3 linked regions of the Stegostoma tigrinum genome follow. The protein of the gene in region 1 purifies or fractionates together with the protein of each later gene. This does not show direct contact. Links are inferred from orthologs where the notes say so. Each region holds a gene or a part of one and is shown in the gene's direction. Other genes may lie near its edges.

Region 1 (3,751 bases):
CATAGGCACAATCTCCAAATGACCTCACTCAGTCCTGTATCATTTCTATGGTTAGGATTACCACAGATCTAACTTTGAACTAACACTCATCCTAAGATTTATAACCATGTATAGTGAACACCAAACCCAATCATCTTAAAGTTCAGAATTTATTTTTCCAGATTGCTTCCCTGTATCATCAAGTAGCAGCCTTAATTGCTATTAAGGCTAGTAATGAATTTTGATTAGTGCCAGAGGAAACATCAGAATGCAAGATATGATACCCACTCCTTTATTCTTCTAACATCTTGAACTTGAAATTCAGCAGCAATTCTACCTTAAATTCAACTCATTGATCTCTGCATAGAAACACTGTGTCATTTCCTTTATTTATACAGTTGCTACATACTAATGTACAAAGCATGCATAGTTACTACTTTAGATTTCCAAACTAATGTGACACAAATAGTAGGTCAATCAGTCTATGCAGTTTATAACTTAGCAGCCTTCCAGTTATCTCTTTTAATGCCAATTCCCGACACTTTACTCGTATAGTTTTCACCACATTTGATCCCTATCTCATGAGAAATTCCTGCTCTTATTCCTATCTTTTATTTATTTTGCTCTAAGAGATCCATAAGATGTCTGAGATTTTTCTATCATTTAATAAGGCTGGCTGAGCTTTGACTTTGATTTCCTTTCTCTCTCATTCTTTTTGATTCCTTTAACAACCAAAACATCCAATAGTGATGGCAGATAACCCAGAGCACTCTGGGCTAAAGAATTCCAAAGATTCATAACCTTCTGAACAACGGCATTTCCCCACATCTCAGTCCTAAATGTCTCATTCCTTCTCCAGAGACAGCAATCCCTAATTCTAGATTATCCTGCTGGGGAAACAATCTGTCAGCGTCTATCCTTTCAAGCTGTCTCAGGAACTCACATTTCAACAAGTTCATCTCTAATTCTGATAACTTTACCCAATAAGGGAGGAAAAAGCTATTATTTGATGTTGAACAACATCTGACTTAGTAGTAATTATATAAAGGTAAAGTTGCCATGACCTCAGAGGACCCTAATGCTGCTGTCTCATTAGAGATGATTGGTGGAGTTTAACCTGAAGCTCATGACACCTCAGACGAGGAGCGAGATTGAGAAGGTGGGACCCTCATAGTAATTTACGAGAATTGAACCCAAGCTGTTGCATGATAAAGCAGCTGTCTAACCAACTGAACTAACCAATCCCCATGGTAGATATAAGAGTACAGGCTATCATTAGTGTACTATGAAAGGTAACCCATTCCTGCGGATGATATGAGGGGAAGCACGTTGAAGAAGAGAGGAGCAAAGGATAGACTCTCAAGCACAGCTATCTGCAAACAGAGTGCTTCAAATGTCATTATTGATGCTTGCAGATAAGATATGCCCAGTAACTGATATCTCCAACCAGACACTAATCAATAATGACAATGACCATATCTTCCCCCCCCCCCCCCCCCCCGCAGTAATCCAGCAGCAGCTTTGTCGATGATGCATAGGCAGTCAGTGGCATTGGGTTAGTAATGTGCCAGCAGCTCTGTCAGCAATCTCCCTGCTTCTCCAGCAGAGGCGCTCACTCTCGGGGGTTTACGGTAGGCCGGTGCTGACCCCACACTGAGTCTGCGCGGCGCGGAGCCGAGCCGAGCCGAGCCTCGAGGAGCCGGGTCGATCGGTGCAGGGTGACGGAGCCCGAATCGAAGCGGAGCCCGAGGCCGGAGCTGAGCCCGAGTCCCCGCCATCGTCCTCACCATGAGCGACATCAACGTGAAGAAACTGAAGGTGCCCGAGCTCAAGGATGAGCTGAAGCGGCGCGGCTTGAGTGTGCAGGGCCTGAAAGCCGAGCTCCAGGAGCGGCTGCAGGCCGCACTCGACAGCGAGGCCGAGGAGGAGATGATGGAAGAGGAGGAGGAGGAGGAAGACGGGGGGCCCGGGCCGCTGGAGACCCCCGAGAACGGCGAGGAGGAGCTGGAAGACGAGACGGCAGGCGGCGAGGAGGAGGAGGAGGAGGAGCCGCCGCAGTTGGCGGGAGGAGACAAAGCCGAGGCCCAGGCGCGGGGCCCGGGACTGAACGGCGCTTCCCTGGCCGCTGGGCTGGAACCGCCGGCGGCCGTAGTGAGCCAAGTCCAGGCGGAGGAGGAGGAATCTCAAGGAGAGGCCGAAGTCCTGGTCCGAGCCGCGGGAGGGGGAATGGACGACGAGGAGGAGGAGGAGGAGGAGGTCGAGAGCAAAACAGGCGAGAGCGGCCTGGGCGACGAGGAGGAGGAGGAAAACGGGATGGGAGAGGCGGAGGGAGCGGTACCGGAGCCGGCCCGGGTCCAAGAGCAAACCCAAGTCCAGGCTGAGGCGCAGCAAAGAGCGGGAGAAGAGGAAACAATGGAGCTGGGGGACGGCGAGGCGCGGGCTGGTGGCAAACAGGAACCTGAGGCCGCTTCGGTCCCGGCTCCCGCCCCTCAACACTCCAGCAAAGGTGGGGGAACCCGCCTCCCTTCGCCCGGGGGCGGGGAACCTGGGCTTTTTATTTCTCATTCATCCGTTTTATTTCACAAAAAAAAACTAAAACATCAACGAGCCTCAGAACCCATCACTTCCGGCGCCTCCATTGGGCTCCGGCTGCTGGGCGCGCGTGTTAGACCGTGCCCAGGGGGTGGGGGGGTGGTGGAGGAGGAGCTGCTTCAGCCTGAGTCCCAGTCTCTTATCAGAGAGAGACTGGATTTAAAATGGGAGAGTGGATTGGAGGCGGGGGTGGGTGGTGGTGTGGGATGAGGATACAGGATGGCTGAAGGAAGCCACTGAGAAAATGGAGGGTGGAAATAATGCAAACCAAAATGGAGTAGCTCAAGGAATTAGGAAAAGGTTGTAGGGGGAGGGGAAGTGGGAATAGAAACAACTTTGCACCTTCTCTTTTATTTTGCTTTGCATTTGCTGTTCGATGTTTTAGATTAGAAAATCACTTCCAGCACTGTCAGGCCAGATAAGCCACATGCTTTTATCATTTTCTGAAGAAGGGCCTAGGCCCAAAACGTCAGCCTTCCTGGTCCTCTGCTGTGTTCATCCAGCTCTACACCTTGTTATTGCAGATTCTTCAGTATCTGCAGTTCCTACTATCTTTTATATCAGAGCATTTTGATGAAAAGTAGGCCGTCAGGTTGGAGTGGGGATTTAGCTAAAACATAAGGTCAGGGCACCTTTAGGGTACAGTAACTTGGCTGTGTCTCTGAAGAAGTGCAGGGAAGGGCTGGAGTTGCATGTATAGCTTGCATCTGTGAATGTTTGGTCAGTTTGAAGTTGAAGCTTCATCCCATCCTGGATTTCATCCAAAAAGTTTTGGAGGAGTTGAGTGGGTTAAAGTTGATTATGAAGTAACTGCATGTGTGAAATGTGGTCTTAATTCTGTGGTTAAATGGAGATCACTTTTAGGTTTAGGGCTAGTAATGGATTCTTAAACCTCCCAGAAAAACTATGGGACCGGGTGGATAAAACAGTGGGAATGGTTTAGAAAAGCTTGCAGCCAAGCACATATAGCCCCAATGTGTGGGAAGGCTTTGACAAAAACTGTGGGTTGCAAATGATGAAATTGGCTAATGCATTGTATGTGCAAGGCTGCGTTTACTCTGTAGCTTGGATGGTAGCTTGATATCGGGTCATGGGAGAAATTAAGTTTATTTTAGAAAACGACAATGTCTTTGACAACATGGAAGGCAAACAGTCTGGAGGTATGTTGCTTGTGAGTGTG
Region 2 (3,751 bases), on another chromosome or scaffold:
TAGTCTCCCTGAACTGCTGTGATCTATACAGAACTGACCTTTCACTCACTTATGCAATTGAGAGTAATCAGTTTCCACGCATCCAGCTCGCAGTGTTATTTAATCAAACACATATCTGTCAGTCACAAACAGAAACAGAAAGTAGCGGTGAAACTCGGATGGTCTGGCAGCATCAATGGAAACTAAAACAAAAAGACCTTTCTTCAGAACTGATGACTCAGAACTCCAGACCTGCTGAGTTTCTCCAGCAATTTCTGTTTGTTTCAGCCCTGCAGTAACCGCAGTTCGTTGTTGTATATATTTGTCAGTTGCCTGTTCAAAAGCTACAAATATGATTCATTTATAGTCAGAGCCTAGCATTATATTTCCTGGCGATCACGTTAGCTACGTCTCGCCTGACATGCACTTACCGCCGACTGTCATCACTCACCTTCGCCCTCTGACACTCGAATACCCAACCCCTATCCCGTGCAGATAATGGAGTATCCCACTCGCGCATGGTGCACCGGGATTTGTAGTTATTTGTGCCGGGGAGTTCCGTTTGTTTCTAAAAGACTCTCACCGCGGAGAAAAACTACAACATGTCTACCACCACGGTCAAACGATGAAATGCCGGGCCAGCTTTACACATTTTAGTTCGCTCGACTGGATGAGCATGCAAAGGATGAAATAAACAAGTATCTTTTATGATAAAACAAACGTTAATCAAAAAAGGTCATGACGGCGACTAAAACCCACTAAAGGCTGTGAGGTTAAAGCCTGTAACAAGGATGGAAGAACCGTGGGTGGGCAGACGTCGAGGGACGCAGGCGGGTCGCGTAACAACGCCAGAAGCAGTGTCTTCAAAGGCAGGCCGGTAGATATGCGATGACATCAGACGCAAACGTTGCAAGGGTGAGTGACGTGACGTCAGACGCACGGTGGCGTTGACAGCAACTTTTGTAGAGAAAATGGCGCTGACGAGGTAGGTGCTTCTCTATGTTTGTGTTGGATAGTTTTAATTCCGTGGATATTCGGCCCCAAAACGTTTTCTTTCTTTTCCCTCTCATCTTGTTATAAACCGCGATTGCAGACGGATCTGTGCTTCCAGAATTTCCCTGGCGTCCAATAAAGCCCTTTTCGTAATTCCCCGACTAGGCCCAACAAAGCCTTGCTTTTACCTTTTGCGAATTCCTGGCTTGAAGAAATAAGCAGCATTGGGAGGAAAGTAGTTGAAAATATCATATTTGAAGTTACTTTTGTTCTTTGTATGATAGGACAGCATCAAAATTTAATGTGAAAGTGTTATTCAGTGCCTCGATTGATGAATGTTGGAGATTGGCTTGCTAAAGGTTTTTGTTGTGTTGTAATTTAGTCGCTTTAATACTTAGCAATTCTACACGTATGCATTATTTGTTTTTATACAAATGTTTTACTGGCTTATTCTTTATGTTTTGTTGTAAGATGAACCAATTATGAGATGTGTGATGTCTATAGTGTTACCACATAGTTGCTGCCATGGTAACAACCATCACCCAAACCAAAAAGTTAAATTTTTGTAGGTAATAAAAAAGAAATGCCAGAAAAGGTTATAGGGGAGTGAGATGAATTCAGTAGCTTTCATAGAGTTGGCAAATGCGTGATAGACTCACATTTAGTTTGAGTAAATGTGGTTCAAATACACAATCAACAGCAGACAGTGTTTCTTTTCTGATGAAGGGTCTAGGTCTGAAACGTCAGCTTTTGTGCTCCTAAGATGCTGCTTGGCCTGCTGTGCTCATCTAGCCCCACACTTTATCAGTGAACATAGTGTGTTTGAATTTCAATTTAAGTTTGAGAGTGAGAAATTTGAGTCCCACATCAGTGTTATGATGTAATTACATAGGCATTAGGACAGTTTTGGCCTAAATGTATTAGCCAAAAAGGCAAATAGGTGGGACAGTTGATGAGCAACGGCAGACATTGAAGGAGATGTTCAGTTTCTCCAAACTAAAATATAATCCAGTGAGGAAGAAATAATTTAAGTGGTGGGAGGTGAGAAGCATTTATAGGTAAGCAAGGACGTTAAAGAAATCATAAAGGCAAAAACTAAGGCTCACAGTATTGCAGAGGTAAGTGTCTAGTAGAGAATTGGATAACTTTTAAAGAGTATCAAAGGATTAGTAAAAAAGTAATAAAAAGAGCAAAGTCAAATTATGAAAGAAAACTAGCACAAAATATAAATAGTGGAGAGCAAAGCTGTTTAAAAGTATATAAAAACTAAAGTGAGTTGTTAAAGTGAATGTTGGTCACTTAAGAGGTCGAGATTGAGAAGTTTATAATGGGGTAACACAAAAATGGCAGTGGCACTAAATCAATATTTTACCTCAGTTTCATTGTAGAGGATACTGAAACCATCCTAATAGTAACAAATGAACAGATTATAGGAAAGGAGAAACTCAACATTCCTGTTCACTAGAGAAAGAGTACTGAGCAAACTATTGGGATTTAATGCAAACAAGTCTATAGGGCCCAATAGCCTATATCATAGGATCTTCGAGGGAGTGGTAGCCACAATAGTGGATGCGTTGGTTATAATATTCCAAAATTCCATGGATTCTGGAAAGTTCCACAGGATTGAAAAATTCGAATGTAATACCCTTTAGCAAAAAAGCGAGACAGAAAGTAGAGAATTATTGATCAGTTAGTTTGATATCTGTCATAAAGTTGATGGAATCCAATATTAATGAAGTAGTAACAGGACATTTGGAAAGTCAAAACCCAATCCATCTGAATCTAAATGGTTATATGAAAGTCAAATCATATTTAACCAATTTGCCAGACTTCTTTGAAGATGTAACCAGCAAAGTGGATAATGGGAGTCCATAGATGTAATTCTGAATTTCCAGACGGCAGTTGATAGGGTGACACAGTGGTTCAGTGGTTAGCACCACTCCTTCATGCCCCAGGAACCCAGTTTCAATTCTACCCTCAAGTGACTGTGTGGAATCTGCACATTCAGATGGCATGTTGGCTCAGTGATCAGTACTGCTGCCTTAGAGTGCCAGGGACCCAGGTTCGATTCCAACCTCTGGAAACTGTCTATGTGGAGTTTGCATGTTCTTCCCATTTCTGGATGGGTTTTCTTCGGGTGTTCTAGTTTCTTCCCAGGAATGTGCAGGTTCGGTGGATTGGCCATGCTAAATTGCCCTGTTGTTTCTAGGAGTGTGTACGCAAGTTGGGTTGGCCATGGGCAATGCAGGGCCTACAGGAAGGGAGTTGGATCTGAGTGCGATGCTTTTCAGAGGGATGGTGTGGACTCAATGGGCTGAAAGGCCTGCACCCATGCAGTAGTGACTCTGATTCATTATTGCACAAAGTGAGATCACAGATTTAGGGGTAATATATGAGGATTGAGGCTAACAAAGAGAAAGCAGAGAGATGGTATAACCAGATCTTTTTCTGGTTGGCAGTCTGTAACTTATAGGGTTTAGCCCAACTATTTAGAAACTATTTTAATGACATGGATGCAGGGATAGAATGTATTGCAGCCAAATTTGCCAATGTCACTAAAATGGGTGGGGCAGTATGTAACAATGAGAAAAAAAATAAGAAATTTACAAATAGATATGGATAGTCAAGGTGAAAGGGCTAACATTTGCTAGATAGAGTTTAAAATGGATACATATGAGGTTTTCCATTTTGGATGCAGGAAGAAAAAGGCAATTTATTATCTAAACTGAGCGAAAATTAAAAATGCACCAGTGCCAAGGGATCACTAATGTCCTTTTAG
Region 3 (3,751 bases), on another chromosome or scaffold:
GACTACATACATCAGGTGAGGAGGGTAAAGAGATTTTCTCTCCTAATGACTATTTATGAACCAGATATTTTAAAAAGAAAAGCCAATTATTTTACAGTCAATATTTCTGAGCCTAAATTTCAATTTAAACTTTCCCAGCTATCTGCCAAGCTTGGACCAGTATCTGCCCATTCACCACCATCACCTGCTCCACTCACAAGGGGGCAAGATTGCTGTCTAAAGGCCTCTATGGTATACAAAGGGGCTAGAACTTTGCAAATAACTCGTCGTGTTTGACATGAAATATAGATATCTTTAAATCAACCTGTTCAGGCACCTGGAGCAGGTGGGACTGTCTAATGATCTGAAGGTAGGGTTACACTTACTGCTGCTGTGGATGAAAGACCGCGTCCATTCACTGCTGCAATTACCTAGCGGAGGCTAATTTTGATTCATCAACCTCCGGTTTATGTGCGTGGCATGTTTTTGATGCTCGACTCTATTCCTACCATTACGCTGCTGTCATTTTGAACTGTACCTCAGAGTACTATGCAGACGCTGAAAGAAAACAAACTGCTCCTTATGTAATATTAGAATGGAAATGTTAACTTATTTTCCTTCAGAAATTCTAAGATTAATGCCTATGGGAGAATGATGAGGCGGAGGGAACATTATTCCTGAAAACAGGAGTTTCAGCAGAACAAGGATTATGTGCAGAAAGGCTCAATCACTGGTCATGACCATACAGCCTGATTTTTTGCTCCCACCTTTCATTTAAACATGGAACCACATTTCCTTTTACTAAAGTCTGACAGTATAATCGGAGAGTTACTTGAAGACATTTCTAGCGGAGTTATTTCTGTCTTTAGAGTCAGGCGGCTGCGCCGGACAAAGTGGGGGTCCTTCCTGAGTGAGTGTCGCGCGGTTGTCATGCAGTCGCGCTCCTTCGTCTGAGCGAGGTGGAGGCCGAGACAGAGCGGGATAAAACCCGGAGTCGAATGTAAGTCTAGCTGCTGTCTTCCCTCATCATCGAGGCTGCTACGGTTTGATAGAAACTTCCTCCTCGCCGTCTTCCAAAATGGCCCTCCGCCTCTCTCTCTCTCTCTCTCTTTCTCTCCCAACCACCAATCCCAGCATCCAGTAACACCGAGGGGCCTGGAACCTACATGTTGTAAATATTTTCCTTATCAACTTCCTTATCAGGGACGTTATTACACGGCTCTGGAGCAGCGGGGACTTGAAAGTGAGCCTCTTGCCTCAGAGGTTGTGACATTACCAATACACCACAGGAACCCCTAGTGATTAAGCAGTTCTGCACAAGCCATTATTACTTTAGATCATCATAGATCATCGAATCCTTATAGTATGGAAACAAGCCCTTCGACCCAACAAGTCCACACCGAGCCTCAGAGCATCCCACCCAGACCTGTAACCCACCTAACCTACACATCCCTGAACACTGGGCAATTTAGCATGGCCAATCCGCCCTAACCTGCACATCTTTGGACTGTGGGAGGAAACCAGAACACCAGAGGCAACCCAAGCAGACATGGGGAGAATGTACAAACTCCACACGGACAGTTGCCCAAGGATGGAAAGCTGTGAGGCAGCAGTGCTAACCACTGAGCCACTACAACTTTTGTGTTGCAGATGTCAGTCCTTCTCCAATCCCAGCACCCTTTCACACTAAACCCCTACCTTACTGAAGACAACTGTAGTATAATTCTTCAGTAATCCATGTCACATCATTCAGGATATGTACAAAATATAGATATTTTCTAATTAACTTATTCAGAGAAGTTACTACTCATCTCTGGAGTAGGTGAGATTTGAACCCAGGCCTTCCTGGGTAGGGAGACTCCCATTGCACCACAAGAGTCCCTGCCTCCCCTGTATAAACTACCCTGTTCAATGTTCGTGGGGAAAGAGGAACAAAAAAGGTCTTGATGAAGGCTTTGTATTTCTTTGCGAAATCCTTGCTTTATTTATCGAGGTCTACATTATAAAAGCCAAAGGAGTTATGGAAAACCTATCTAATTGGGCCATAGTGAAGGGGTTTTGTGTGCTTTCAGTTTGGAGCACTACACTTTAGAAGACCTTGAAAAGGATGTAGAAGAAACTCACCAATTTAGTTTTGAAGAAAAACAATGTGTTGAGGAAGCTGTGATAGCATCTCTGGGAAGAATAATTGTGTAATATGTAACTTTATTTGGTTCACAAAGAAAATTCATATCAGGCTTGAAATGTTAGCTTTCCTTCTTTTTGCATTGATACTGCCAAATCTGCTGAATTTCTCCAACACTTTTTCTGCTTTTATTTCAACCCTTCAAAGTCTGGCGTATTTTGCTTTTACACTGATGAAGGATGGATGTTAATTGGACACAAGAAACGGGGCTTATTTTCCTTAGAGCCCAGAAAATTAAGAGGAGATAATAAGAAACTGTTTTCAGAGGCAGAGGGTGAATGACCAAGGACATAGATATAATATTAGCAAAAAAGACTTGAGGAAACACATTTAAAAAGCAAGTTGTTGTGATCTGAAATATGAGTGTGCTGGAAGCAGACTCAATAATAACTTTAAAAATTAGATTGTAGAAACAAGGCTATGGGGCAAAATGGGATGATGAACATTCTACCAAAGAACCAGCACAAGCATGATGGGTGAAATAGTCTTTTTTATGTACTGTTTCAGTGCATGAAAGAAAGAATAATTTATATATATATCAGCAAGGCGGCTTAACCCGAGACTCTACAACTGTAGTGTCTCCCACCCGCCCTCCTCCTCTAACCTAGTTAATAAGGTAAGGTTCATTCTAAACTTTCTCTATTGAACATAAGTTTGTTATTAATTTGTTATTATTACTTGAAGTGAGCTTTCTGCTTTAGTATTGAGTGGGTGTTCAGATAAGTGGGGTATGGATGCTAGGGCAGTTGCTTGCTCCTCTGCAAAATGTGGCAGTTGGGAGATGTGGCACACGTCTCCGCTGGCTACATTTGCGGGAAGTGCACCCAGCTACAGCTCCTTGAAAACCGTGTTAGGGAAATGGAGCTGGAGCTGGATGAACTACGGATCATTCGGGAGGCAGAGGGGGTAATTGAGAGGAGTTATCGGGAGTTGGTCACTCCTAAGGCTCAGGACGAGGATAGATGGGTTACAGTTAGGGGGAGGAAAGGGGACAGACAGACAGTGCAGAGATCCCCTGTGGGCATTCCCCTCAGCAATAAGTATACCGTTTTGGATACTGCTGGGGGGGTTGACCTACCAGAGGAAAGCCATAGTAGTCAGTTCTCTCGCACTGAGCCTGACACTGTGGCAAAGAAGGGAAGGGGGCAGAATAGAAAAGTACTCGTGGTAGGGGACTCGATAGTTAGGGGAATCGACAGGAGATTTTGTGGGCAAGATCGGGATTCCCGGAAGGTATGTTGCCTCCCTGGTGCCAGGGTCCGGGACGTCTCCGATCGGGTGTATAAAGTTCTGAAAGGGGAGGGTGAACAGCCAGAAATCGTGTTACATATTGGCACAAATGATATAACCAGAAATAGGTTTGAGGATATAAAAAGTGATTTCAGGGAGTTAGGATGGAAGCTGCAGAGCAGGACGAACAGAGTAGTGTTCTCTGGTTTACTACCGGTGCCACGAGATAGCGAGGTGAGGAACAGGGAGCGGGCGCAGCTGAACACGTGGCTACGCAGCTGGTGTAGGAGGGAGGGCTTCAGATATGTTGATAATTGGGATGCCTTCTGGGGAAGGTGGGACCTGTACAAGAAGGAC

The links.
Region 2: the proteins of hnrnpua (region 1) and snw1 purify together in Homo sapiens (affinity purification with mass spectrometry; 3 studies listed by BioGRID and IntAct, with this or other methods). This does not show direct contact. The link is inferred for Stegostoma tigrinum from reciprocal best matches to the Homo sapiens genes HNRNPU and SNW1.
Region 3: the proteins of hnrnpua (region 1) and eftud2 fractionate together in Homo sapiens (co-fractionation; 3 studies listed by BioGRID, with this or other methods). This does not show direct contact. The link is inferred for Stegostoma tigrinum from reciprocal best matches to the Homo sapiens genes HNRNPU and EFTUD2.

Annotation. Positions count from the first base shown.
Region 1 is NC_081362.1:86,364,955-86,368,705, forward strand, and holds the start of hnrnpua (heterogeneous nuclear ribonucleoprotein U), read left to right. Parts: upstream 1-1,613; 5' UTR 1,614-1,767; coding exon 1,768-2,485; intron 2,486-3,751. UniProt on the Homo sapiens protein: DNA- and RNA-binding protein involved in several cellular processes such as nuclear chromatin organization, telomere-length regulation, transcription, mRNA alternative splicing and stability, Xist-mediated transcriptional silencing and mitotic cell progression.
Region 2 is NC_081363.1:13,496,752-13,500,502, forward strand, and holds the start of snw1 (SNW domain-containing protein 1), read left to right. Parts: upstream 1-853; 5' UTR 854-950; coding exon 951-964; intron 965-3,751. Other genes in the region: adck1 (aarF domain-containing protein kinase 1), read right to left, coding at 411-423. UniProt on the Homo sapiens protein: Involved in pre-mRNA splicing as component of the spliceosome. As a component of the minor spliceosome, involved in the splicing of U12-type introns in pre-mRNAs.
Region 3 is NC_081384.1:27,964,899-27,968,649, forward strand, and holds the start of eftud2 (116 kDa U5 small nuclear ribonucleoprotein component), read left to right. Parts: upstream 1-857; 5' UTR 858-979; intron 980-3,751. UniProt on the Homo sapiens protein: Required for pre-mRNA splicing as component of the spliceosome, including pre-catalytic, catalytic and post-catalytic spliceosomal complexes. Component of the U5 snRNP and the U4/U6-U5 tri-snRNP complex, a building block of the spliceosome.